2 linked regions of the Schizosaccharomyces pombe genome follow. Changing the gene in region 2 together with the main gene of any one other region gives a genetic interaction. Each region holds a gene or a part of one and is shown on either strand. Other genes may lie near its edges. The genes, in order: gls1 and alg10.

What was found.
Region 1: of alg10 (region 2) and gls1, a mutation in one rescues a mutant of the other (synthetic rescue), as found in Schizosaccharomyces pombe (one study listed by BioGRID).

Annotation. Positions count from the first base shown.
Region 1 is NC_003424.3:3,226,870-3,245,525, reverse strand, and holds gls1 (glucosidase I Gls1), read right to left. Parts: upstream 11,905-18,656; 5' UTR 11,857-11,904; coding exon 11,619-11,856; exon of another isoform or gene 11,569-11,618; coding exon 9,380-11,568; 3' UTR 9,110-9,379; coding exon of another isoform or gene 8,525-9,109; 3' UTR 8,245-8,524; downstream 1-8,244. Other genes in the region: RNA-binding protein Nop9, read left to right, coding at 301-2,268; SPOM_SPAC6G9.01C (uncharacterized protein), read left to right, coding at 3,194-3,374, 3,773-3,871, 3,956-3,963; DNA-binding transcription factor Ace2, read left to right, coding at 4,559-6,160; ubi3 (ubiquitin-40S ribosomal protein S31 fusion protein), read left to right, coding at 7,164-7,616; SPOM_SPAC6G10.10C (uncharacterized protein), read left to right, coding at 8,525-9,109; isocitrate dehydrogenase Idp1, read right to left, coding at 12,671-13,990; cbc1 (nuclear cap-binding complex large subunit), read right to left, coding at 14,602-16,693, 16,743-16,993; tda3 (FAD-dependent amino acid oxidase), read right to left, coding at 17,334-18,070, 18,143-18,484, 18,546-18,597.
Region 2 is NC_003424.3:1,135,398-1,145,149, forward strand, and holds alg10 (dolichyl-phosphate-glucose--glycolipid alpha-glucosyltransferase Alg10), read right to left. Parts: upstream 2,522-9,752; 5' UTR 2,335-2,521; coding exon 1,400-2,334; intron 1,358-1,399; coding exon 955-1,357; 3' UTR 799-954; downstream 1-798. Other genes in the region: mug64 (BAR domain-containing protein), read right to left, coding at 1-5, 120-287, 332-379, 535-606; protein ema19, read left to right, coding at 3,169-3,720; UBA domain protein Mud1, read left to right, coding at 3,733-3,936, 4,051-4,845; rRNA methyltransferase Rrp8, read left to right, coding at 5,224-6,180; methylenetetrahydrofolate reductase Met9, read left to right, coding at 7,718-9,529.

The sequences.
Region 1 (18,656 bases), 2.1 Mb from region 2:
TACTGTACCTCGTTTCTCAGTTAAGTTGTAACTCTATTTATAATCTTACTGATAATTTTTCTAGAAAAATATCCTAGTAAATAAGAGGATAATGTCCGCAATGATCAATACGCGGATCTAACTGGTATTCTAATATATGACATATAGTGATGAATACCCTAATGTAATATAGCGTAGTGTAGTATTGCTTGCACAATAAAACTTTATACCCCCATGCGTTATTAAAATTAAAGAGGCATAACAGAAATTATTTCCAACAAATTTTCGAATCCTATAATGCTAATTCAATCCTAGAGCAAAATGCCAAAAAAAAGAAAAACGCGTGGTAAAAAGCACTCTGCCAAACAAAAGGAGGAAGAAGTTAATTCAGTTGTTTCTCCCGGTATTGCAAAAAACGATGAAGGCGCTGGAAATGATGAAGGTGCATATCAGGTAAACCGTTACACGAATGAACCAGTGCAACCGTTTTTTGGTGCTTTGGACCCCGAAGAAGAAAAATACTTCCAACAAGCTGAACAGGCTTTTGCCAATCATTTTACAAGAGAAAACGAAGATACCAGGTTTTTTGTCGACAGCATTTATCGTGAGGTGCAAGGCAAAGAGCTAATTGTCTGCAACAATGTGTTCGGATCGAAGGTTCTTGAAAAGCTTTTCCCTTTATCAACGAGTAGACAAATCAAATCGTTTTTTTCTGCATTGAATGGTCATTATGTGGAGCTAATTCAGACAACGTTTGGCTCTTATGCTTTCGAAAAGCTGTTGAGTCACATGGCTGCCATTCTAAATTTGGAAACCCAAGGTGTTACAGAGGATCAAGATGATGTTTTGGAAGGTGAAAATGAAAATGTCTTCATGACAGCAGAAACTTTACTTATGTACATGTACAATGAAATACGCCCAGAGGTTTCTATGCTAATGAGCCATAAGTTGGCTGTTCATGTATTGGGCAAAATTTTCCTTTTGCTTGATGGATATCGATTCGTGTATCATGATGGAAACAGAACCACTATGGAGTCTATTTCTGTTCCCGAATCCTTTCCCCAGTTTGCTTATTCCATAATTGATAGTGCTACGGACAACCTCGATACCCCAGAACTTCGAGCTTATTGTGTTGATAAATATGCGAGTCAAATTATGAGAGCGTTTATACGTATAGACTTTGAGCGCTCAAAAAAAACAAAAAAGAAGCACGATCCACGCTTAGTTTCCAAATTGTTACTATCTAACGAGTACGATTTAAAAGAATTACCGTTTATGGAAACTTTGTTGAAGGACGAAACTGGCTCGCGTATTCTGGAGGTCATCGTTGAAAACATGTCAGCCTCTCATCTACTCAGATTTTATGCCGTCTTTGAAGGACGTTTTTATCGGCTTTGTGTTCATCCTATAGCCAATTTTATAATGCAACGTTACATAAGAAGGTTGGGAAGGAAGGAGATTGGTTCTGTCATTGATGAATTAAAGAAGAATACAGACAACATCATTAGGAAGTCATTTCTTCCAGTGTTAAGGACATTACTTGAGAAGAGTAACCATTTACATTGTTATCAAGATGACATATTTTCAATGATTCAGACAAGCGTAACAAATAGTGGAAAGGATGCCAACATTATTCCATGCTTGCTCCGATCGAAGCATAAACGTGATAAAGCCAACCCAGAAAACAAAGAGCGTAAACTTGTTAATAATTTACTGGGTGCTCAACTGTTAGAAGAAATGCTTCACTGTGAGAAACAACATATTCAGTTATTATTAGATAGCGTTTTAGATCTCTCAAAAGAGCAGATTTTGGAATATTGTCTGGAAACAGTATCCTCTCACTTGATAGAAGGAATTCTTGATTTATCAGACTTAAACCCGGTATTTCTTAAAAAATTTCTCAATATCCTTTCCGGATCATTTGCTACATTAGCTGTTTCTGCTCCTGGTTCGCATATTGTAGATAAAGCGTGGAAGGCCACAAGGGCATTGCCGCTTTATCGTACAAGAATTGTTCGTGAGTTGGCTGAAGGTGGTGACGACGTCAAATTTGATTTCTATGGCAAAAAAGTTTGCTCAAACTGGAAGGTCGAGCTTTTTCGTCGAGCTCCTGATGAATGGTATCGTTTCATGAAACAGGATGAACCATCTAAGCGTGTTCATGAACGTGCACGCCAGTATGGTCGTATTGTTTCTGGCAGTTCAGCCAATACTCAGCCTTTGGGGGAGAAGCGCAGCACTGAAAATGATGAAGAGCTTGAGTCCGGTCCTAAAAGAGTGAAAGTCTGAAGGAGAAAAGGTTTCCATTGGTTAAATTGAAATGCACGGCATTTTTACGTCTCGCCAATTTAAGCATGGCATTTTGTTGGTCAAAAAAAAGTTATGTTTTTAATTTAGGTAATATAGGTATTTAATTTTGTTGCGGTTTGCTATGTATAGAGGCGCTTTTGCAGAGTAAGGAAGTAAACTTTGTAAAAGGAATTGTATTTCTAATTATGAATTGATCAACTGAAGAAGAGGTTTCGAATTTTTTGAATTGTTCTACCACTAATAATTTGTGTTTTGTATATTTGTATTCAAATGTTTTGCCTTATTTCTCTAAGGTGGTTTCTAGGCTGAAAAAGAATTGACAGAGGTTTTGAGCTGATTTTCATTGTCAAATAGTATTCACTTTATTTTTATCTTATGCTTAATTACTAAAGTATTTCGTTTATTAAGCAATGAGATTTTGCATTTGTTAATTTGATACAGCAATAATTCGCTTCTTAAATGAAGACAAAAAGTGTTAATTTATGGTATTAGGATAGAGTTGACCTAAATATGCTTTTATAAAGAAAGCTTGGCCAAAGAATTGTCTACATTTTATTGCCGTTTCGAAATACCGATGACAGAGGTGATACAGCTTCTAAACAAAATTAAACAATTTTAAACATAATAAAGAACCAAAGGAAAAAAAAGGAATCGATCAATCTCATGCCTTAATGCTGGTACAAGTTTCTTCTGAAGAATCATTCTTATAAATATTACAAATTCTTTACCGTAATACGAGAGAATACGTTATGCAGATTTAAGCATTTTAGAGAATTCTTATTTTATGAAGCACGGTACCGCAAAAGAATTTCTAGCAAGTTTGCAAGCTACAACAAACTGTCTCTCTACTCAATTATACAATTGCCATTGACTTGGCAAACTCCTCTCTACGAGTATTTAAAAGATGGAAATCGACGACATTTTTGCTTCTAAAAAGGCAAACCCTGCAAATGAAAAGTCAAATGACTCAAAGTCGGAGGCGAAAGCCCCTAAGAAAGGAGCCAAGACAAAATCTACTCCAAGTCGTCCAAAACCTACTAATAACCAAGACGATTTATTTTTAGATCCAAAGGGAGCCTCAGGAAGTAAGACACTTTTTGCCGTTTGATAGTTCATCCTTACATACGTTCTCGCTACTTGGTTAATGATTGCATTCGTTCATGTTTGGCATCCGCGTTGTTTGTCAATTCTTTGACCTCAAATTCATATTTATTGTCTAAAAGATTGAGAAACTTCGAACTGTGCTATATACTTATTTATTTATTATATACTGCTAGAGCTAGATTACGTTTTTCTAGGGAGATACATTTCACAATGATGTTTAGTGTTGGTGGAGACTCCAAATCATTAAGCTCTATTGTGTGGTATTGAACCTTATTCGCTATTCTGTTTACGGGAATGTTTGCCGAACGATGCAATACTTACCTAGCAACGGCACTTTTCTCCTTATCATCAGTAATTGTATTAACGTTTTGTGTTTTAGGAAAGCGTACCGAGGAAGGGTTTCTTGTATATGACGAGGAGGAATTAAACATTGGCCAAGGTGGAGGTACACCGGATTGCCCTTTTGATTGTCAGTGTTGTAAGTAACTTATTCATTGCATTTAAAAACTTTTCCATGGCATTTTTTCTCTTGCTAGCTCTATACTAATACTAATACCTTAAGGTTTTTGATCTCAACGTCGTTGTCGTTTTTTCAGGTTGGTTACCGTTTTTTTTTGGCTTGTCATACTTAATCTATGTTTTCTAATATCATCCATGATCCAGTTGTTGAAGCGTAGACATTTTCATAGCCGTGATTATCCTGTTTATTAGTGGTAGTGTCTTTCAATCAAACCTTTTACTGGTTTAATTCAAAAAATAGTTGATTTGTCCCTTTGGCAACAAAAGGTAAATAAACAATCCCTGGGTCTGTGTTTACACTTGTATTGCGTTGTTGTGATATGGTTCGGTAATCCATGCAATGTAAACAAATAGTGACTTGTTTTGCGGTAAAGTGAAGCATAAAATTCAACAATTGTCGTCATAGCAACGGAGTAGCTATTTGATATAAACAAATAGCCAGCGCACCAAACATTGCTGTAACAAACAAAAAAAAATCGAAGAGTGATTAGTTCAATCATCTACTGGGTTAGACTGGCTTTGAGCCACACTTTCATCTCACTTCAAGTTATCAAGCACTCTTTTCAAGAGTCATTTCTCTCATCGTTCTCTCCTTGATTTCTCTACGCATTGCACTAGATACTCGCTATCCTAAGTAAACAAGACAATGTCGCTTTCATATTTATCATCTTCTTCGCAAAAGTCGTTTGAATCATTTCGACAAGAAGAGAGTCCAGCTTGTAATCATTCGTACCAAAGGGATTATGAAACTTTTGGCGATAGCAAGCATACTTCTTTTTCCTCCTTCGCTCCCTTTGAAAATGAGGTGTCTTTAAATCAAGCTGTTATCCCTTCACCGCCTTCTCATCTTCAGAACTTTCAAGATCAGTTTGACTATAGTTCTGTTCTAAAAACACCGTTTAACCCTTTGTTGGAAGCGAATTCTGCATACTTTTTATCGAACCAAATATCGCTCCCCGACTCTCACTCGTATGCATCCTCCTTTGATGCTTCCTTATCACCCCCTTCCTCGCCTTTAACTTGCGTATCACAAATCCATACCGAGCAAAATTTTAATAACAATGACGCATTTTCCTTGACCAACTCTCAACAGGCCTTTTCCGAAATTGGTTATGATGCATCAAATTGGATTGATGAGCTGGACTCTCAACAACAAGTCCTTTCGTTTCCTGAGTTTGACATACCAGAAATAAAGACGGAAACTTGCTCCAACAAAGATCACCTCGAAAATTTCGACTACCTTTCCTCAAGTATACCTGAAACCTCGGGTCCTGCCTCTTCCGTTCTTCCCAGCTCTTCGCAATTGGAATCATTTAATGAGTTTATGTTCCTCCCATCCTCTCCCCCTGGATTAGATGAGATAAACGGTGCGCCTTCATTTGAAGAATTGAACTTTCAAATATCCCAACCAAGTCCGGCACATCCTGTAGACTTATCGAGTCCAGAGACTGCACCTAATATCTCCCCTGTATCCCCATTTGCCCAACTTGTAAAGCTAGAGCCCACTTCGCCTCAAAAGCCCTCCTTTGCTCTAGATTCTTCGTTTTCCCATTTGGATGTATGCAGGCATACTGACAACCAGAAAGCGTTTGCAAAGTTATCATCACCTGCTGAATACGTTTCTGAATTTGAAAAATTCTCATCCGTTTGCGATCATGGACTTGACATATCGAACGCAAATATCAACAACACTTTGACACAGCAGTTTGCATTAAGTGCACCTTATGAATCTTGCATAGTTACCAAGAAACCTGAACCTTGTATCACTGTCAAGGAAGAAGAACAATTAGCTCCAAAAATTGAATCTGCTGATTTATCAATTACTCCTCAAGTCACCGAGCATGATTCCAAACCTCCGGTCAGAATTTCATACGATCATAGATGCAAAACTCGCAAGCAATCAACTAGGATTTGTAGAATTCCTCCGGAGACAATGGCTAGCTTATATTGCGGCCCTGAAGCAGATGGAAAGTACGTCTGTTTGTACAACGGGTGCAATAAACGTATTGCTCGCAAATATAATGTTGAATCGCATATTCAAACACATCTGAGCGACCGTCCGTATCGCTGTGACTTATGCAAAGCTGGCTTTGTTCGTCACCACGATCTTAAGCGTCATCTGAGGATTCACGAAAATGGCAGGCCATATGTATGTGAATGCTTAAAGAGATTTAACCGACTTGATGCCTTAAATCGGCATAAGCAGAGAAATATATGTGTTGGCGGCGTAGATCGCAGACAGCACTAATGATGACAGCTGTACAACTTGCATCGCATTGCATTATAATGAGTTATGTTTGGTTTTTTTTTGGGATTTTTTAATTTTACTAATATTATTGTTTTTAATTTGCTTTTATATAAATTCAAATTCAAGCATCGTACATGAACTAATGCTGTGACAATTTTGATAATTTATCAACTTGTATCTGTCTTTTGTATATTTATTCATCACCCTAGTATTGTGTATAACTCTGCATCATCTAAAATCTACAGATTAATCTTTGTGAAATGGAAATACAACTATGAAGTTGTTCGTATCGTTGAACGGCTGAAATGGTAAAACTAGTTTCCCCAAACCTGACAAACAACTTGGATACATGAGTAAGAATTAGTGTTTGCTTTCACTCGCACCGATGTTTAGTCAACATATGTTTAAGTTGGTATTTCTAGGGAAAACTTGTATTTAATTACTATAGTATGCGAAGTATTTCATTGGAAAACAGTGGTTGTAGTATGCTGCCAAGCAAGCATTTATTATGATAATAATAATTCAACAAATTAATCACTATGACTTAAACAGAGAAACCAATGATTGTTTTAACTATTATTGCTGGTCATTGGAGGAAATTTTGTCGGCAAGAGAAAAGATAATTCATTTCTATTTGCAAAGAACCAAAAAATACGAAAACTCGTCGTAGCTTATGCAAACACAAAATCACAGGTTTACAAGCCTTTACTACACTAAATCACCATATATGAATCATTCAATAGGATATAATTGACATCAATTAGTGACAAACTGTCGATATTAATACAAGGGAATCAGGATTTTCATTTCAGCATTACGATTTTAAAAATTGTGAGAAATGTTAAATTGTGTTATATAATTAACGCAAACGTTAATTCTCAGTACGAGAAACTTGCGTTACACCCTAACCTACGTGAGTTAAAACCAGTCACGCATCCATATATCACAATGCAACATCAATATTTTCCTCCATCCGCGAGGAAGAGGCAATACTTTGCTGACGATGCAGATCTTTGTAAAAACCCTTACGGGTAAGACCATTACCCTTGAGGTTGAATCCTCTGACACTATTGACAATGTCAAGAGCAAAATCCAAGATAAGGAAGGAATTCCTCCTGATCAACAACGTTTGATCTTTGCTGGCAAGCAACTCGAGGACGGACGTACTTTGTCTGATTATAACATCCAAAAGGAGTCCACTCTTCACCTCGTTTTGCGTCTTCGTGGTGGTGGTAAGAAGCGTAAAAAGAAGACTTACACTACTCCCAAGAAGATCAAGCACAAGCACAAGAAGGTTGAGCTCGCCGTCCTCAAATACTACAAGGTTGAGGATGATGGAAGCGTTAAGCGTCTTCGTCGTGAGTGTCCCAACTGTGGTGCGTCCACCTTCATGGCCAACCACAAGGACCGCCTTTACTGTGGTAGATGCCATTTGACTCTTAAGTTGGAAAACTAAACTTGAATGAAATAGTATTTTCTACTGTGGTCTAGACATATCATCATGAGCAGTAATTGTAGAATATTAAGATTGAAATAAGCTGTAAAACTTTTAAAAATAATTTTATAAGTAGATGCATGAGACTATAAATTGTTCAAAATGAGTATAGATTCATCACTTGGTTCAGTGATCGTTTTGAATAGTACCTGAGCACATTAGCAACTCGTGGAGTACTATTTTGCTCAATTCACTTTTTTTCAGAATTAGAGAATGAAAGAAGATTTCTTCAAATTCATGTGTAGTCGTTACGATTAATACAACCTAACTTTTACATACAAGTAGCATGCGAATACTTTTTGGTCGTCGAAAAATCATTCCAACCAATATCTAAATAAATTTCTTTTGCATGCAACTATGTTAAAACGAAAAATTAGCCTTTATATTAAAAAAAAAAAAATATTCTATATCTTTGAACGAGAGTAACAAAAAAGGCTCTTCATTGAATTGAAAGCCTTGGTTAGTACTATCTGCTTTCCATTTAGCGAATTTTAAACCATCGTTATTTCATTGGATATACTACGAATTATTAACATTTTAATAGCACGCAGACGCGACTACAACCTAGGAGTAAAAAAGTCTGTTTAAACTGGTTAATTTTGATATTTATTTAATCTTTGAAATCAAATTTAGAGCTATTGTTAAGAAAAAAAAAATCAATATTCCACCCCAACTTAAAAACTTTGATTTAAACGACCCAATATTTCAAAAACAGTTATTTACCACTCAATTATTTTTATTATTAAGTTAATTCAATCAGACACTGGTAGCGCAGTTTTTAATTCAAACATTTTGCGATTTTTCGTCTGAATCCGTTTACTTCTTGCTTAACGTCTATCGTTACAATAATTAACTAGTTATTTCGAACCATGGGTCCGTCTGGTGCCGGTACACGTGGTGGTCAAGCCCAATTCCAATGGGAAGAAGTGAGAAATGATAAACAGAAAGGAAGATATTTGGGTCAATCTATTTATGCCGCCTCAGGTCGTTGGGCTGAGGGTAAGGATTTGGAGTGGTGGTCTAAAGGTAGAACCACCCAGTCTGCTATAAATTCGGAAAATTCTGATAAAGAAAAGTATAAAAAAGAAATTTTAGAGATTAAAGAAAGAGAGCAAAGGATGCTTGCAGAAGCTTTGGGTCTTCCGCAGCCTTCTGCTCTCGCACTAACGTCGTCAAAAGCCGCAAACCGCTCTTCAACAAATACTGAAAAAGATTCCAGAAGCATTGCCCATAGTACCTCCCGATCAAGGTCAACTTCTCCGGCTAACCGCCATAGAAGAAAGGAAAAAGAAAGAACACGAAGCAATCATCGACATGGCTCTCATCGTCGTCACGAACCTTACCGTACACATTTATCTAGGCACCATAGGCATAGTACCACCAATTATCATTCAAAAAGAGACGACCGCTACGAAAGAAGGCGTGAACACTCCCCAAATGATGGAGGAAGTTGAAACGAAAGTACATTAATTCGATCAATTCTAGTGTTCTCTTAATTTCTTAAAAGTTCCCGTTTAATATGTTTATTTCCTTTTGTTTTTTTTGATGATTGTTCTTAAATACGAAACGCAGTTCGCAATGCGTGCGACGAAAAAAATTTTTAGGCTTATATATGACCTTTCTAATAGTATGAGCATTACAAAATAATCACTTTTCATTTTCTATTCTCGAAAGTTTAAAAATATGAACAAGTCATAAAGAAAATAATCCAATAATTATCATTCTCAATAATTTTCAGACATAATGTTAACAACTAGACTGGTCCATCCAGTAAAGTCCTTGGTTCGTTGACCCTTACCAGTGGTGGGATCGTATTGTTCCCAGAAAATACCGGTTTGGCGCCAATTCTCAAAAACATTATTTACAACGTTAGTACGTAGCTCTTCATAAATCGACCTTGCAAGATTTTGATTGGGACCAGGGGTATTAATGTAATTTTGATATAAACTACTAAGGATGAGATAATTCATATTAATCCATATAGGGCCTCGCCAGTAGTTTTCTCCGGTTCCAAAGTAAACATCGTTCATACTTAAGCTTCGGATTCCATAAGGAGACCACAACTCATTTTCGTCCCTAATAAGTTTCAACAAGCTAGTAAGCCTACCACTATCAGCAGGAAGCAAACCAAGCATCATTGGCAGTAGAGTAACATATCCTTTATGACACACATTAATAGGATCATCGTATTCATCAACACTTGAATCACAGTAAGCCTGTACTTCTTCATCCCAATGATTGTCTTCGAGGTTTCGAAGCATTGCATTTTCATAGCCAGCCAATTTCTCTGCTTCCTCGGTTTCGCCTAAAAACTCAGCGACAAAATGTAAACTTCTGGTAAATGAAGTCATCCAGCTGAGTAAATCAACATGAAGCTCAGCAGTACTAGGGGGTTGAGCTCTAGGGTAGTCATCCAGTCCGCTTGCCAGACAATGCTGATAAGTACGTCCACGCCAGCGATAGCCTTCAACTTGAGAAAAGCATTCCCGTTCCCAGGTTTCGAAATCTCCTTTTTGTGTTTCACGGAACCACTCATAGTGACGAAGAAGAAGAGGAAAAAGATCACGAAGAAACTGTACAGACTTTTCAGGGTTAGAAATGGAGACAGAACGAAGGTATTCAAGATCATCCAAGGAATAGTCTTCACCTTCACCACTAAAACGATTATTAAGTTTTCCTTGTTGTTCCTGAAGTCTTTCAATATATCCTTTTAAGGCCAAGATCAGAGTGGGTGGATTAGCAATATCGGGATACTGAGTTTGAAACTCATCGGGAACCTTGCTTCGAGCTTCTTCACCAAGGATTTGTTCACGGCCTACCCACCCATCTTCGTTCACCAATGAAAACCAGCTTTTGAGGATCTCAAGACTAAAATCGTTATCCCAAAGTCCTACGGGTAAAAGATGAAATCCTTCATCCCAATAGAAACCACGTGGGAAATGAGGTCGACTAGGAACAATGGTAAATAAACTTCTTTCAATGTCATGAAACGCAGTACCTTCGGCAAGTTTGCCAGCAGCACTTTCAAATCCTTGCATGAACTCGTAGTCTTCATCGTCTAGTTCAATGGGGTTTTTACTAACGATTGAATCACCAGTAAAGAATCCAACGTTACCAAAAAGATTTGAGAAAGCGGTGTGAGCAAATATTTGATGAGCCTTTTCTGTATCATATGGAGCCTTCAAAGGGAAGGTAGCTTGAAACTTTTCTTCAAATTCTTGGAGATTCTTATCAATAGCTTGTGAAATCATTTCTTCAGAAATTTTTTTGGAAGAAGCGTAATTAAAAACGATATCGAACATGAACTCGCCTTTAAATACCTTTTGGATGAATTGCAAGCCTTCTTCTGAAGGAAGGTTGGGTAAAGTTAAAGTACTGTATGCAGGAGGAAGATCTTTCAGGGATTCATATCCTTCCTTGTCACTAATCACTTTCATTTTAGTGTCCAATAAGTACAGGATAAGCTCAGAAGTTCGCCATGCTCCCTCCTTTTTTACATTGAATCCAGCGAAAAAATCTTTGTCCATAACCATGGATTCCAAATCTACAGACGCAGGAGATACAGGATGCTCACCTAGACGATTAAACGTCTGTATACGAAACTTTCCGAGGTCGGGGGTTTTTCCTTCCATATATACGTGATTGGCATGGTTAACCTTGGTACCAACTTTACCCTCGCCCTCAACATACGCGTAAAAAAACAGAGAAGTAGTAAGGTCAGTTGGTGCTCCAGGAAGAGGAATACCGTGCACACGAAGAGCCCAATTTCCTTCGGGTAACTTGACAAAATCAGTTTCAAGTTTGATACCCATGAGAAAATCATCGATCACTTGCTGTCCTCCCCGACGAACATCGTAATGCTTCCATCCAAAGGCACCAATATCATCTCCATGTTCGGCACTGTGTCTCATTTCTAAATAATGTTAATACCTATATGTATGTCCAGCTGCAAACGCGACATACTTGAGAATCTAGCATAGTCATCAACATTGGACCACATAAGTCCTGTCATTAACGAATCAGGAATCTTAGGACGAATTCCAACATATAAATTTGGCCTATACGGACCCCATAAAAACGAATCATTCGCTGCTTTCTCAATGTCTTCAACACTACACGAGACAAGTACGCAGTTCAATAGAAACGATAAGAGTCCAAATAAAATCCATCTCTTATTTCCGCCAAGCATGTCTGACACCATCGTTTGTGCTAGCAAAAGACTGATGATGGCCAGTGTTTTGTTTTGGTTAGTGTGTATTGCATGGCTAGCATGCTTCCTCTGGCATCCAACACATTATAGTGTCTTAACTAGCATTATGAATGCTACGTTAAGTTTTTTCCAAACGCTCACAGCCACACTGCAGCGCGTAAGATTTGGCTGCGTAAAACATTTGGAGCTAAGAACAAAGGCTTACTTTATTTATCAGTTTAACAGAAATTACAAGTAATTAAGTAGTAGCAGTTTTTAAAATGATATTTGTTACAACTTCATTGTATTCGAACATAATAGAAAGCATTTCCATAGTGATATACATTTAATGTAGTTGGGGTTTACGTCCATCAATTGTTTAGTTTATTAGCTCAGTTGTTGAATTTTAATATTAGACCTTTACCTAAATTGTTATGGCTCAATCAATTGCTAGATAAATATGTTTAAGTGGGTTTGAAGCAAAGCTTTAAAGAATCAAGATACATTTGTAGTCAATAAACGGCAAGAAATCCGAAAGATTTCAATGAATAAATGAATAATCATTCAGCTTTTTCCTTTACGTTTAAGGGGAAAAAATTGAAAAAAATTAGATAATAGTGTCATGGTCTGAATATGCATAAAAAATTTACAAAATTTCATGATTAATAGAAATGACTTCCTACACTCCACTGTTAATTGTAAAATAATATAAATGCACACACTTCAAAATAATTGTTTTAACAAAAAGTATCCTAGTAAAAACATGATTGAATAATCCAGAACTTAAACTTCAAAGACTCACTAATCAACAGGTCTAACACTAAAATTAGGCAATGTTGACCAATTCCGAATCGAGCTCGGACTTGACGGCATCCAAAAACTCGAATGTATCAACATAACCATTGGGAGACTTGCTGAGAAGGTAAAGATCCTTTGTCATAATACCCTTCTCAACGCATCGAACACAAGCATGCTCGAGGGCGTTGGCAAACTTAACTAAACGTTCGTTGCCATCTAAACGACCACGATGGGCAAGACCACGAGTCCAGGCAAAGATAGAGGCAATACTGTTGGTTGAAGTCTTCTTACCTTTCAAGTATTGCATGTAGTGACGCTGTACAGTACCATGAGCAGCCTCACTCTCAAAAGTGCGACCGTTGGGATGAATGAGGACAGAAGTCATTAGGCCTAAGGATCCATAAGCTTGGGCAACCACATCCGACATAACATCACCATCGTAATTTTTGCATGCCCAAACAAAACCACCATTGGACTTAATAGCTTGGGCTACCATGTCATCAATTAGACGATGTTGATACCATAAACCTAGTTCCTCAAACTTTTGCTTGTAATCAGATTCATATACTTCTTGGAATGTATCCTTAAATCTACCATCATATTTTTTCAAAATTGTATTCTTAGTGGAAAGATAAAGTGGCATTTTCTTTTGCAAAGCCATTTGGAAAGAACTGTGAGCAAATCCACGAATAGAGTCGTCAGTGTTGTACATAGACATAGCTACACCACTACCGTTGAACTCGTAAACATTGTATGTTTCTTTAGCAGAAGGATTACCTTTAGGGGTGAATGAAAGTTCCAACTTACCGGGGCCTGAAGCTACCAAGTCCGTTGACTTGTATTGATCTCCAAAGGCATGACGCCCGATACAAATAGGGTTCGTCCATCCAGGAATATACTTGGGAATGTTTTTGATTAAAATGGGCTCCCGAAATACTGTACCATTCAAAATGTTACGAATGGTACCATTGGGAGACTTCCACATCTTCTTGAGGTTATACTCTTTCACACGAGCCTCATCAGGAGTAATGGTGGCACATTTGATACCGACATCATTTTTGAGGATAGCTTTGGCTGCATCCACAGTAATTTGGTCGTTTGTCTTATCGCGAGCTTCGATTCCAAGGTCATAATAATCCAATTTAATGTCCATATATGGGAGAACCAACTTTTCACGAATGATCTTCCAAATCACTCTCGTCATCTCATCACCATCCATTTCAACGACTGGGTTTTTAACAGTGATCTTTTGAAAAGATTTGCTTGAAGCCATACGCATATTCATGAAACCACGGCCTGCGGCAGCCAACTTGAAAGGTGCCTTTACGGCAGCACGTACTTCCAACATATTGTGTCAGTTTTTTTATCCTTTAAAGTAAATGAAATATTCGACGAAGCTAAGTTGAGAAGGAGTAGCTGTGCAAATGTCCCTTAAATCCTAGTTCTATCCACCAAACTGCCTCTGTTCCTCACTACTTCTTACAATAGCACAAAGTGGTTGGTTAAGTGTAAGTTACTGATGGCAGTAGTGATTTTGTTACATTTTAGCAATCCTTTCGTTAAACTGAGAAAAGATTTAGTCACTTCTGATATCGGAGATGTGAGTGAACATTTCGCTTATCCATTCGCTCACATAGTATGACACTACGCAAAACTAGAACCGACAAGTCGATCGTAAAATATCTTATCTTTAGATATCCGTTACCTCTGATAGATCTGATAACCCTGTTACCTATAAAATTGAAATCTTCGTTTCTAGTAACTTAACTGTGAAGTGCAGCAGCGTCCTACAAGTGCTTATGAAAATGGGACGTTATAATTAAATATTTAATATAAGCTATATCCACGTTCAAACGTTGTAGCAGATTGACAACGTCGTGATTACCAGTCGAGTTCTTCAGTTTAATCTTTTTGATATCAAAACAACACTTTCTTCATTTTTGTTATAGACTACTTTCTTTATTTTTCCTCATTAGTTGCATCAGCTGCTGTTTGATTATTTTCTGATGGCTGCTCATCTACTGCGTCGACGGGTTGCATTTTTGTGTCTTCCTGTTCCTCACTGGTATTTTCTTGAACAGGCTCGTTTGCTTCTTCTATCGTGTCCTTTTTAACAGAGAGGAAATTTGATTCCACATATTTTAACATAAGGTTAAGCCAATGAGATACCCATATATTTTCAGCATTTTCGGAAATAAGGGCGCGCAAAGCTGACAATAGTAAATTCGTGACAATTTCCTTTTCCTCATTCGCTTCATTGATTAGCGAAGAGTCTTCTTTGTTAGAAACCGAACGCCGCAATCTAGCTGCTAATTTATTAAAAGTGGTGTTAACAAGTGACCACGTATAACTACGAGACCATATAGTCACGTCTTGCTTGATCAACCACTCAATAATAGAGGTAATACTAATTATAGAGTAGTTCAGCATTTTATCTAGCCACATAACTGCGTTGAACGGTTGTAATTTCCAAAATGAAAAAAGTTCATCAACAACCTCTATTTCGGAATCTAATGATTTTCGAGAAAAATGTTTCAATGTATTAAGATGTTTCTCGAACACGTTCAATGCGTGCGAAAACGATCTCGAACCCAAGCTATAAGCACAAGACATAACTAATCGGACAGCAGATGTCTCGGAGTTTTGAATCTCCTCGCTCTGCAAAATAATGTCAAGTTCTTCTAACGGTTTATGTAATCTCAATGCTTCGATAATTTGACTTGACTGTTGATATAGCGGATGAGTCTCATTTTCGTACACGAAATTGGGACCCGACGGTTGTTCGCCAAGCAAACAACGTAACTCTTCAGGGAGTGAGTCAGAAATTCTTGTGTAATAGCTTAAAATAAGTTCCCTAGTAATAGTTTCCCGCATAAAAACTTTTTTTGGATGAAGATCGTCCAGCTCAACGTCAGGAATCCACTCATTCCACTTCCAGTGAAAGTTGAAATTACTAAGGTGATGTGAAAACCAGTCAATAAATCGATCAAGTGTTTGTAAAGGTAAATCAGAAGACATGGTATACATTAGCCGAATGACCCTTCCAAAAGTTGGAGCCAAAATTTTAGGAGCGATACGGCAGCATTCAATCAAAAGCGAATGATAATAGACAGGTTTATACGTAGTATTCTGTGAACCAAGAAGCTCACCCAAAACAGCTTCAACTATGATATCTTCTGCTTTCCAACGTGATTCCGATGGATCTAAATTTGGTAATTCATTTACTGGAGTACCACGAAGAGCAAAAGTTTTGTAGGTAAAATAAACATCTAAATCTGTAAGAACTTGAGCAGCCTCAACTCGGTTAAATTCCAAATGGTTTATAACATCCACACTTATATCACGAAATATGCTGGCTGCAACGTCGGAAGCGTCAGGAGTCGTGCGAATTTCAAAGTTATTAAAAAGCTCAAAAAATCTCTTGAAGGAAGGTAGCTCATTTTGCTGAGGAGTGGGCTGAAACGTCCATTCAGGAATACTTGGGCTAACCGGAACAATATGAACGAAATCAGATTCAAAAAACTTCCAGGGTTGAGATATATAAGGAAAAGTAAAGTCGTTTTCCCGAGATAGAATTAGTTGTTTATAGAGTAAGTCCAATTCCTCCTCTGAAAGATTGTCATGTATTGAAAGGGGATTACTTAGAGTTATCGAAGATTTCCTATGACGAACGTAAATCTCACATTGATCCAGTATCTCATTAGCAAAATCCTTTTTACCGAGATCGTTGTTAGCTGCGATGAAATATGGAAGGTTTATCAAAATTATGCGCAGGAAATTATCTCCCCAGACACTGGGTTTGGTTTCTTTTGAGATAGCGTCAGCCAGTAATGAAAATAGTGGCTTAAGGGTACCTGGTTGAAGTGCAAATGACATGCAAATGAGCATTCGTAGATCGACTTTAGCCTCGTAATAAAGAAAGGAGTTTAAATTCGTAAAATACTGTAAACAAAAATACGCAGCTGCTTTTTCTAAGATTAAAGGAACCCTTAATGAGGCTCTTATAATTAATGTAGCCAAATGAGGTATTTTGACTGGAATGATAAATGCACTAAGGATTAAATTAGTTTTCTGAAGGGACAGTATAAATTATCACTTACGTTGTCTGAATGCAATCTAAGATAGTTGAAATGGTTTCAGGATCATTAGCTTCACGACTAAGAGACATAGCAACATAATTAATGTCATCAGCAGCTACTGAATTTCCTCGAGGATCCGCCAAAAAGGTAATATCCTTTTTTATACGCGCTGCAAGTAGCTCTTGAGAGTTTCCTCTATGGGGACGAAATCCATAATTCTCTCCCTCTCTCGTCCTCTTTCTGGGTCGAGTTGATCCCCGATAAGAAGACATTTTGTGAGGAATGTTAGTGTCTTACTGTTGTTGGCGTATAGCAGAATTGTAAAAACACGAGCAAGTGTTCTCAAGTAACAATCAACTTAGAGGTAACGAATGGTATACTAAGTCGAGATGGAAATTGTAAAACAAAAAAAAAGAAAATCGATTTTCCAATGCGATAAAAACGAAAACCTTAATAAATATGATTAGAAAATTTTACAACACTGTAATATTCTATTTCGGTAAAGGAATAAGCATCCATTCTGCTTCTATATTTTCACCTTTCAGTGAATGAGTCCTTCGTTTTTTTTGACAAACAATTAAAACAAAAATTAGAGGATATAATTTGAAATCCTCATTCACCGAGATTTAAGTGAAAAGGATCTGTGTTTATGCTTGTTTTTTCCTTGCCAAGGAGCATTTCTGCCATACATAAACCCGTGGCAGGAGCTTGAGTTATCCCCCAGTTGGCGTGACCCGCTGCAACAAATACACCAGACTTGGTTGTTGATATTATCGGGATACCTGTTATTCTACTGGTAGGAAGGAACTTAAAAGATGCGTCTAAGTAGTTACTCTTCGTATTCTCCGAGAGCACCAAATCGGTCATTTCTTTCAATTCGATAATTTCAAAAGGATTAAAAAAACATCGATTACTATCTTTTGGCAGCAAATGGAATTTTGGAGTTCCCATAAAAATAAGCTGCTCCCGGTTTTTACTGAAAATTTCGGTTGTTTTGCAAATGTTTAGATTACCCATGGTATTTAAACAACACACAACAATGCTGTCGCCAACGGGAAAATTTCCTACCGATAGGTGAATTATGGGAATGCATAGACCTGCAATACCAGTAAATGGTAATAGATAACCAGTCCAAGGCCCAGCACTCACCAGCGTTTTATGCACCTGTGCTTTTATTATTGTATCTTCAGCTTCTTGTTTTGGAACGTATGTAATATGGTGTTTACTAACCTCTTTCACACTTCCAAATATAAACTTTACTCCTCGTTTTTCTATTTCTTTTGCCATAAATTGACAAAACAATTTTGGATTGATCATTGCAAAATCGTTGCCGGAACCGATACTAGAACCTAAATGGTTAGTCTCTATATGACTTATACAATAAAGTTATTATTTTTTTTTGGTAGCACTTATGAGCTTACATTTTTGCATGCGCTCTCGTTGAAGCCATTGCAAAGTATCGGGAACTTTGGCAACATTGGTATTGTCCCATTTCATCTTACAAAACCAAGAATTGGCAGTCCTATATTCCCAGTTTTTCTTCCCATCAAATTTTTTATCCAATCCTTCATAAAGCTTCAAAGCGAGAGTTGAAAGTGGCTGTATGATTTCATTCTGGCACAGTTTTGTCAAGATTGCAGAATCAATGCCGGAGCTACCTCCTGCTATTTCTTTTGATTCAAATATAAATATGTCCAATTCTCCTTTTTTGTATTCTTGTTCTTCTGTTAAGTAAAACGCCGTACAAATTCCAATAATGCCACCTAAAAATCATCGTCAGCATGCTCACTCATCATTTATGAAACTGTTGTTCTCCAAAATTACCTCCTACTATTCCTATCTTTGTCTTATTTCCTTCTCTACTTGTAGCGCTCATATTTGAAGTTGGAAAGTTGACTTGAAACACAATCATCTTGCTGTAACGCTTCTAAACAT
Region 2 (9,752 bases):
CTAACCTGCATTTAACAAATAGTTAGCATCTCAATAAAACATTCAACCATTCGCTTTGTGACCCAGTGCACTTTATATGATATCTTGACGATGATTTGATAAAGTTTAAGTATTCTTACCTTTCCCGAAACGGTTTTACCAAAATCCGTAATAGAATCGCGGAAATTTGTAGGATAATCGTATCCATCAACTTCTACGGTTTCAACAATAGGTAAAACAAGATTGTATGCTTCTTTCAAGCTATCAACTTGTTGTTCCAATTCCACATAATCCTCCGGAAGAGATAACTATTGAAAAAATGTTAATTCGTGTGCATTTTATTTTATCGTACTTCCTCGACTCTTGATCCAATTTTTGTACGCAAATAATGAGTGGTTTTCTAACATAAACTGTTAATAAGATATTCTTGTTTATCGGAATGAATAAATCAACTAAAACGATCACTTTAAAAATAAAATCACGGCTGCGGGTAATAAAAACGCAAATACTAACTGAAGATTTAAACAGCAATACAATATAACAAATGCATCTTACCTTAGCGAAGGGCGTGATTGAAGAAACTGTAGCATTAAACTGCCCAGTGATGTGAGTTTTGAAAGTCTCCATTGTTGTTGGCTCTAGGTAAAACAGAGATGTTATCGTATCCAACTCTACCAAAAATCAACGAGCACCATGATTTTAAATTACTTTGAGTTATACAAAATATAACTTACTGAAAACGTAGTACTATCATTTACACCTTTATATATCTTGTTTACCAATGTCGAATACATACATAAAAAACGCAAATACTTCTTCTTAGAGAAAATCCTACATTAAAACAGTTAAAAATAAAGAGAAGGAGATAGATCTAAAAATTCGACTAAATCAAGTAAATGTGGTTCATCAGATTAATCATTTTTGAAGTTGACATAATATAAAGTATTGAATTGATTTAGTTTCGTATGAGATAGTTTACCACATAAACCTTTGAAGAGCATTTGGCTCGGATGGCCATATAAATGTTCGAAATAAAAATATATACAAGGTGACAGAATTAATGACCATATGCAAAGCATATTCCATTAAACATTCCCTCCCCGACGGAAGAGGAAGATGAAAACGCCAGAAAAGGAAGGGTAAAAGGAAATACCGAAATTCTACTAAAGGTGCCGGTACCAATGTAAGGATTGTTGTTGAAATCAGTAAAAAGAACGTGAGCGAGGTCATTTGCAATTTGGATATATCCAAAAAAAAGTAGTATAAAATTAAATAAGAAAATGGGCCTAAATATTTTAACCACCAAATTCGAAAAAGTCTGTTGAAAACGTAAAATAAATAATGCCTGTTGTCTGCTAAAATAAATGGATGGAAAATTCTAAACGTTAGTTAAATTAAACAATACCAATTTAGCACGTACGTATTAAAATGCGCTATCAACAAAAGCACAGAAACGATCAAAAAAGATTTTTTAGAAAAGACTGCGGACAAAAGTTTGGAGCGTCGAGAATGGGACATTAGATATTTTATAATATAAGAGGGAAAAGAAAAGAAAAAGAAAAACCACAGAAAGTAATTTATTTGAGATAAATGAATGCTTGCTTGATGATGAGATTTGTCGCCTAAGACAATACTGCCATTCCAAAGCAAAAATGCAAGGAAGGAACAAAATACTGCACCATAGGATAGAATTGGGCACGAAAATCTTCTTAAATTTTTAAGAAAAACCCCTAAGAATGAAATTATAGTAAGAAGAACATCAGCAAAAGTTGCTTCAGCTAAGTGGGGATTGAAGAAAGACATATTGCTAGCAAAATATGTAACTGCAATAAAGACCATCCAAACGATATTTGTCTGTCGAAACCATAGAGAAAAAAAACAAGACACAGAGCTTGAAAAAGCAGACTTTCGGAGAGCAAAGTCATAAGCAAGAAGGACGAAAAAAGTACTACCAATATCAGTGTAGTATAAAAATGAGAAAAACCATAAAGGAGGTAATGACGATAACGTATAAGCGAAATAGGTAACAACATCTCCTTTCCTATTATTCAAAAGAGAAACGATATCGTTTATAAGCCATGGCAGTCCAATTACGCCTACAAGCCAGTTTATTAACCTCAGAGATACATTGCTGCAGCCTATAAATGGGCTGAGTGCGACTGAAACCAAGTATAAACCAGGAGGTGTAGTAATCGCCGGATCCCAATCCCAATCTTTTCTACAAAAGCGTTGAGCTTGTGCAATATGGAATATTTCATCCAAGTAAGGATTAGGAACATAGTATTGTATAGCTAGAAGACCTGTAAAAGCTAGAAAAATCCATAGTATTAGAATTATAGCTTTTCCAAGAAACATTGTCTGTGTTTTGGGTCTTTAATGAAAGTTTATAATAAACGAATAAAGAAAATCAGGTTTTGATAAAGGGCGCACCTTTTACAAACAGCTTTTTATGTTCGCTTGTTTTAGACCCTATAACACAATTTCCAAAACAAACGATCAACTTTTCGAAAGGTGTGAATTAAATTTCGCTGAGGTTGTTGGCAGGAAGTTTGGAATTCAAATGCTTACAATATAGCAAGAGTGGGAGAACAATGTTTTTACATCAAATTAATTGAATTTCATGATTTTATTATTAGTTATCTAGAGAAAGATAGCATTCTAAAAACCATTCAACATTATGCACACTTAAGTACGAAATGTGACGAGTCTGTTTTTTATATTTAGGCTGCTAATTGCATCATTTTTTTTTAAAAGAACTGATAACATTGAATTTCATTTAAATTTTAATACTTGATAAATTTCATAGTAATGTGGTCTAACATTATCATGTACATGAAGGCAATTAAGCGGTAATACTAACTAATTAATGAAATCTGCCTGAGGCTTTTTAACTTAATATTGGCACACAAAATTACTCGATATACTGATTACCACCAATATGAAACTAAACAATCGTCTTCCTATTGCTTGTAAGTGTAACATCTAACGTATTGTTTTTATAAAACTATTTAGACGTAGTGCTCTAAAACAAACACGATAATACATTATTAAGTAACGTATATAGAATACGCAGAGAAGCAGTTGTTATTAAAAATACTAATAACTTTCAATGTCACCGTTTAAAATTGTAAAATTGTTTTCTATAGCAATTCAAAATCTCTGAATGAGGAATATCAATGTTTTGGGTTCATGAAAGTGGTTTCATTACGCCGCATTTATAGTAGTGAGATATACAAATTGCCAACCACACGCCTTCACATGGATACCTTGTATTACTATTATTTCGTAAGCCATCTAGCTGCAGCATTATTTGTTGATTTACCTATAACTGAATGGCTTGGAGGCTCTTTAAGCTGTCTTTCTGGTTTGCGACGCTTTTATTTATCTACATATGAAGACCCTATTCTTTTAATCCCTGCGCCTTGGAAAACTGCATTGTTTTCTTCAGAACTTTTCTTTCAAGTTCCTTTTTTTATTTGGGTTTCTCTACGCTTACGAAAGAAAGCGAGGGATCCAGTTTTATGGGTTGCAATTCTCATATACGGGGTGCATGCTTTTACTACGACATGGTGCTGCATGTTCGAGTTATTTGCTGAAAAAAAATGGATGATAATGAGTTTTTATTTTCCTTATTTGGCCATTCCTTTATGGATGGCAATTGATATGGGTGGCCGATTAGTCAAGTCGTGTCATGCTGCCAAATCAGGTCCTTCCTCTACCATAACCTCAAAGAGTGATTAAGAAAACACAAAAATGAATAATTTAACACCAGAAAATATTCGTCAAACGATTTTAGCAACTCCTTTTCTATTAAATCGAATACGCACAGAGTTTCCTCAACTAGCTGCTGTCCTTAATGATCCCAATGCGTTTGCTACTACATGGCAGTCCATTAATGCTTCTCAATTATTGCAGATTCCTTCTTCTACATATTCGATGGGAATGCCTTCATTTTCTGTACGTTTAATTTCGCATAATAGCGCCCGTATAAACTGCTGAGTCCAATAATTTAGTTTTAATGGACACAATAAATAAAGGGCTTTCGAAGGTGATTTACTAACATTTTTGTAGGAAGATGACCTCTTTGATGTTGAAGTCCAACGACGTATTGAAGAGCAGATTCGTCAAAATGCCGTGACCGAGAATATGCAATCGGCAATAGAAAACCATCCTGAAGTGTTTGGTCAAGTTTATATGCTTTTTGTAAACGTTGAGATTAACGGTCATAAGGTGAAAGCATTTGTGGATTCTGGTGCTCAAGCTACCATTTTGTCTGCTGATTGCGCTGAAAAGTGCGGTCTTACCAGGCTTCTTGACACTAGATTTCAAGGTGTCGCTAAGGGCGTAGGAATGGCTAAAATATTAGGTTGTGTTCACAGTGCACCTTTAAAGATTGGCGATTTATATCTTCCATGTCGATTTACTGTTATTGAAGGTCGGGATGTTGATATGCTACTTGGTCTTGATATGTTACGCCGTTATCAAGCTTGTATAGATTTAGAAAATAACGTTCTTCGGATTCATGGAAAAGAAATTCCTTTTCTTGGAGAATCTGAAATTCCAAAATTGCTGGCTAATGTGGAGCCATCTGCAAATGCACACGGTTTAGGTATTGAACCTGCAAGTAAGGCGAGCGCTTCTTCACCTAATCCACAAAGTGGCACTCGTCTTGGTACCAAAGAAAGCGTAGCACCCAACAATGAGGGATCTTCCAATCCCCCTTCCTTGGTAAATCCTCCCACTGACCCCGGTTTGAACTCCAAAATTGCACAGCTAGTCAGTATGGGATTTGATCCATTAGAGGCTGCGCAGGCGTTAGACGCTGCGAATGGAGATTTAGATGTAGCTGCTTCTTTTCTCCTTTAACGACTTAATTCGATTTCGGGGAGATTGGATATACATAATCAATGATTTTAGTCATGATAAAAATTAGGGAAATGATTATTTTCAAGATCGGTCCTGTTCTACTATTGTAGACGAATTCTTTCAAATTAATGTGTTTTATATCATTTTTTATGTGTTTTGTATCAGAAAGTAAAAATTCTATATATATGCGTAATTGCTTAATCAAACTGAGTTTTATATTTCAAGATTAGTTTTTTCAAGTATTTGTTATTTTAATTTTACGTTCACAAAAAATGAATGTTATTTATTTTAATACTTAGAAACTTTTATGGTTTCATTGGTTTGACGTACGTAGGATGAAGTTTTCTTACAACCAAATTTAATCTTATTCCCTACTTCATGTTTAAAGTAGATTGGGACTTAGGTCCAGTAAGTAAAAGCGCATCAGACCAAACGAAAGAATCTAGAAAAGAAAAAAAAAGAAAGAAAGGTGAGAGAAAGAATGTAGGAGATAAAGGCGAAAAGCTCAACGAAAAAGTTTTAAAAAAGGCAAAGTCGGTTACCACAAACAATTCCCTGAAAAGCGAGATTAAAAAAGAAAAATCAGTCCCTTCTATTAAAGAGAAAAACAAGGGGGATGCTAAGCATACTAAGTTAACGTCTCTTCAACAAAAAATGAAAGATAAACTAGATGGTGCCAATTTTCGATGGATAAATGAACAATTGTACACTACGGAAAGTGACAAAGCTGTACAAATGTTCAAGGAAAATCCAGATTTGTTTGATATTTATCACGCTGGTTTTCGATATCAAGTTGAAGGTTGGCCGGAAAATCCTGTTGATATTTTCATTCAACATTTAAAGATCAGATTTGAGCATTCAAACGCAAAGAAGAAAAACAATATTGTAATTGCTGACCTCGGTTGCGGAGAAGCTAAAATAGCTTCTACATTTAGAAAATCACGTTCTTTGCAAGTGCACAGCTTTGACCTTGTTGCTCCCAATGAACATGTGGTAGCCTGTGATATTGCGAATGTTCCAATGGCTGACGAAACTGTCGATATTGCTGTATTTTGTTTAAGTCTTATGGGCACCAATTGGCAATCTTTTTTGAAAGAAGCTTATCGTATTCTTAAAGTCGGTGGTTTACTTTGGGTTGCTGAAATCAAAAGCAGATTCTCTGATAAGAGTGGAGAAGTTTTTGCTAAAGAACTTCCAAAATTAGGCTTTGAAACTAAGTCCATTCAGCTTCAAAACAAAATGTTTACTCTGTTTGAGTTCAAAAAAGTACCTGTACACGGGAAATGTGAAGAACTCCCTCCCATATTAAGTGCTTGCATTTACAAAAGAAGATAAACAAGGTATTGTTTAGGAAAGAACTGGTCTTTCGGTATAAGAAGGTTTGGGGCTCTTGTATAATAGGTTTTGTTTTAAATTTTGGGATAATATAATATTAAACGTTTACTCTTTGTCAATCGGAAGACGGACTAACGGAAGAACGATAGGTTTATCAATATCGCATGAGAAAATAGGTTATATATTTCAGAAATAACTGTTTCGTTAGAGCTGTGAATATTCGCAAAAGCAAGCAAGAGTCACAGGCTGTGTCTAATCGTTGATAATGAAAAATATAGCTATACCAAAGACCCAAATGCTACATTCTAATTGATGGAGTAATCTATTGGCTGGCTTGTCATATCAAATCATTCATCATTTATTTTGATAGTGCATGGGTTAGACTTTGAGTAATTATTAGATTTTTTTTTAGAATATTAACTTGTGCTATATTAGCATCCTATATTTGATATGTACCTCTAACTTGTAAGTCAAAATTCACATTGAAACAAAAAGCAAAATTCGTTTATTTTTGAAGACAACATTACGAGTATCTTGTGAATCGATAAAACATTTGAATTTAATCCATCGCGGTCAAAGAATAGAAAGAATTTTCCATCCAGTATATTAGTAATTATTAATTATAGGTAGCTCCAGCAACTTATTCATGTAGCACACATATTTAGTTGCCTTAAAGGATGAAACAATGACCAAATGCTTCATTTTTTTTAGCGCTTACAAACTTACAAAGTCAATTTTTTAAAATTGCGTGAACTCTTCTTTCGCGAAGCGAAGGCTGGAGACTACAAATGATATTCATTGAGCACGAACACGACTTTGGTTTAAAAAATGGTACATGAAAATTATTACCAGAATGGGAAATGAGTAGCGTACTAAAACATTTGTTTGTCAACAATACTTGAATTAAGTAACGTTGTGAGTACTTTAAAACGCATTTAAATTGCAGCTATGAATTTTGCAAGGAGGGAAATGATCATTTTTAAATTGTTCAATCATATTACGTTTGGTATACCGATTCGACGTTTGTTTTATCTTCTTCCTTGTAATGAATATTATGCCTTAGTATGTTTGTTAAATAATGTCAGCAATACTGCACTACGATATGACAACTACGTTGCGTATCACTATATGTCACATGTTCAACATCATATCATAGATATCCGTTGATAACTATTTAGAAAGATTGTAAATAGAGCTACTGCTGAACCTCGTTTCTGAGTTCAATTATGAGCTATATTAGTGATAGGTAACATTATAACCCAGTTAATACAATACCTATACTCAGTTGCTACTCAAACAACCTGTTTATTGTAATATAAAAGATCACAAGGAAAACTCGCCGCAGTTCTACGTATCCTTAAATCAGATACCAAACTGCGTAGCTGACAGTTTAACGTATATTAAGGTTTATAATAATAGCTCATTAACGACTTATTACGAGGCAAAACCATGAAAAGTGGAATGAAAACGAAAAAAAAGACTTTGCCAAGAGCCCGCTATTTTGTCAGTAGTTCATTGTTGAATTTGAGAGGTAAAAATGAAAATAAGTGACAAATTACTTCACCCGGATTGGAAGGAAAAAGTTACTTACAGTTATGAATTTTTTCCTCCAAAAACGAGCACTGGTGTCCAAAATCTTTACAATCGTATAGATCGCATGAAGACTTGGGGTCGTCCCATGTTTGTCGATGTGACTTGGGGTGCTGGTGGTACTTCTTCAGAACTGACTCCTGGAATCGTTAATGTAATTCAAACAGATTTTGAAGTGGATACTTGCATGCATTTGACTTGTACGAACATGTCCACAGAAATGATTGACGCAGCTTTGAAACGGGCTCATGAAACAGGGTGTCGTAACATATTGGCCCTTAGAGGTGATCCTGTTAAAGATACAGACTGGACTGAAGGCGAAAGTGGATTCCGGTATGCTTCAGACTTAGTTAGATATATTCGCACACATTATAATGATGAATTCTGTATTGGTGTAGCTGGCTATCCAGAAGGATATTCACCAGATGATGACATTGATGAAAGCATAAAGCATCTGAAATTAAAAGTCGATGAAGGTGCTGATTTTATCGTTACTCAAATGTTTTATGATGTAGACAATTTTATCGCATGGGTCGATAAAGTGCGTGCAGCAGGAATAAATATCCCTATATTTCCGGGCATTATGCCTATTCAGGCATGGGATTCCTTTATTCGGAGAGCGAAATGGAGCGGTGTTAAAATTCCCCAGCATTTTATGGATACTCTAGTCCCAGTTAAAGACGATGATGAAGGAGTCCGTGAGCGTGGTGTTGAGCTCATAGTCGAAATGTGCCGTAAGCTTATAGCTAGTGGCATTACGAGACTTCATTTTTACACTATGAATTTAGAAAAGGCCGTTAAAATGATTATTGAACGATTAGGTTTATTAGATGAAAACTTGGCTCCTATAGTGGATACTAATAACGTCGAGTTAACCAATGCTTCCAGTCAAGATCGTCGGATAAATGAAGGTGTACGGCCCATTTTCTGGCGCACTCGTAATGAAAGTTATGTCTCGCGTACTGATCAGTGGGACGAATTACCGCATGGTCGTTGGGGTGACTCTCGTAGCCCTGCTTTTGGCGAATTTGATGCTATTAGATATGGTCTTCGTATGTCTCCCAAGGAGATCACAACATCGTGGGGGTCTCCTAAATCTTACTCGGAAATCGGCGATTTGTTTGCCAGGTACTGTGAAAAAAAGATTAGCTCCCTCCCTTGGAGTGATCTTCCCATATCCGATGAAGCCGACTTGATTCGGGATCAACTTCTAAGTATGAATAGAAACGCTTTCCTTACTATAAATTCTCAACCTGCTCTTAACGGCGAAAAGAGTTCACATCCTGTTTTTGGATGGGGACCACCTAATGGTTATGTTTTCCAAAAACCATACGTTGAGTTTTTCGTTCACCCCTCACTCTTGAATGAACTCAAAGAAACCGTTAAAAAGCTTAATTCAGTTTCCTACTTTGTTACAAACAAGAATGGAGACTTGGATACCAACTCACAATATGAGATTCCAAATGCGGTTACATGGGGTGTTTTCCCTAATCGTGAGATTATCCAACCTACTATTGTCGAGTCAACCTCTTTTCTTGCTTGGAAAGATGAAGCCTATTCATTGGGCATGGAATGGGCTAATGCATATAGCCCTGATTCAATTTCTCGTAAACTTTTGGTTTCTATGATGAAGGAATGGTTCCTTTGTGTCATAGTTGATAACGATTTTCAAAATGGGCAATCTTTGTTTGATGTTTTTAACAAAATGAGATCTTTAAAAGACATCCATCCTGAGCTATATTATGCAAATGCATCATAAGCTGCTAATAGAAGGATGTTATCGTACAAATTTTTTTTGGTACGTTAGGTTTTTTTTGGGGCTTTCCTTTTATGACATTTAAGATATCAATCTTTAATACTCTCTTTCAACAGCATGGTTTAAATATTTTTTGGGATTTTATAATATACATTCCTATCTTTTCTTTATAGACTTCTAATTCCTCAAAGCATTGACTTTCAACAGTCAACATTCTCTCATTAGT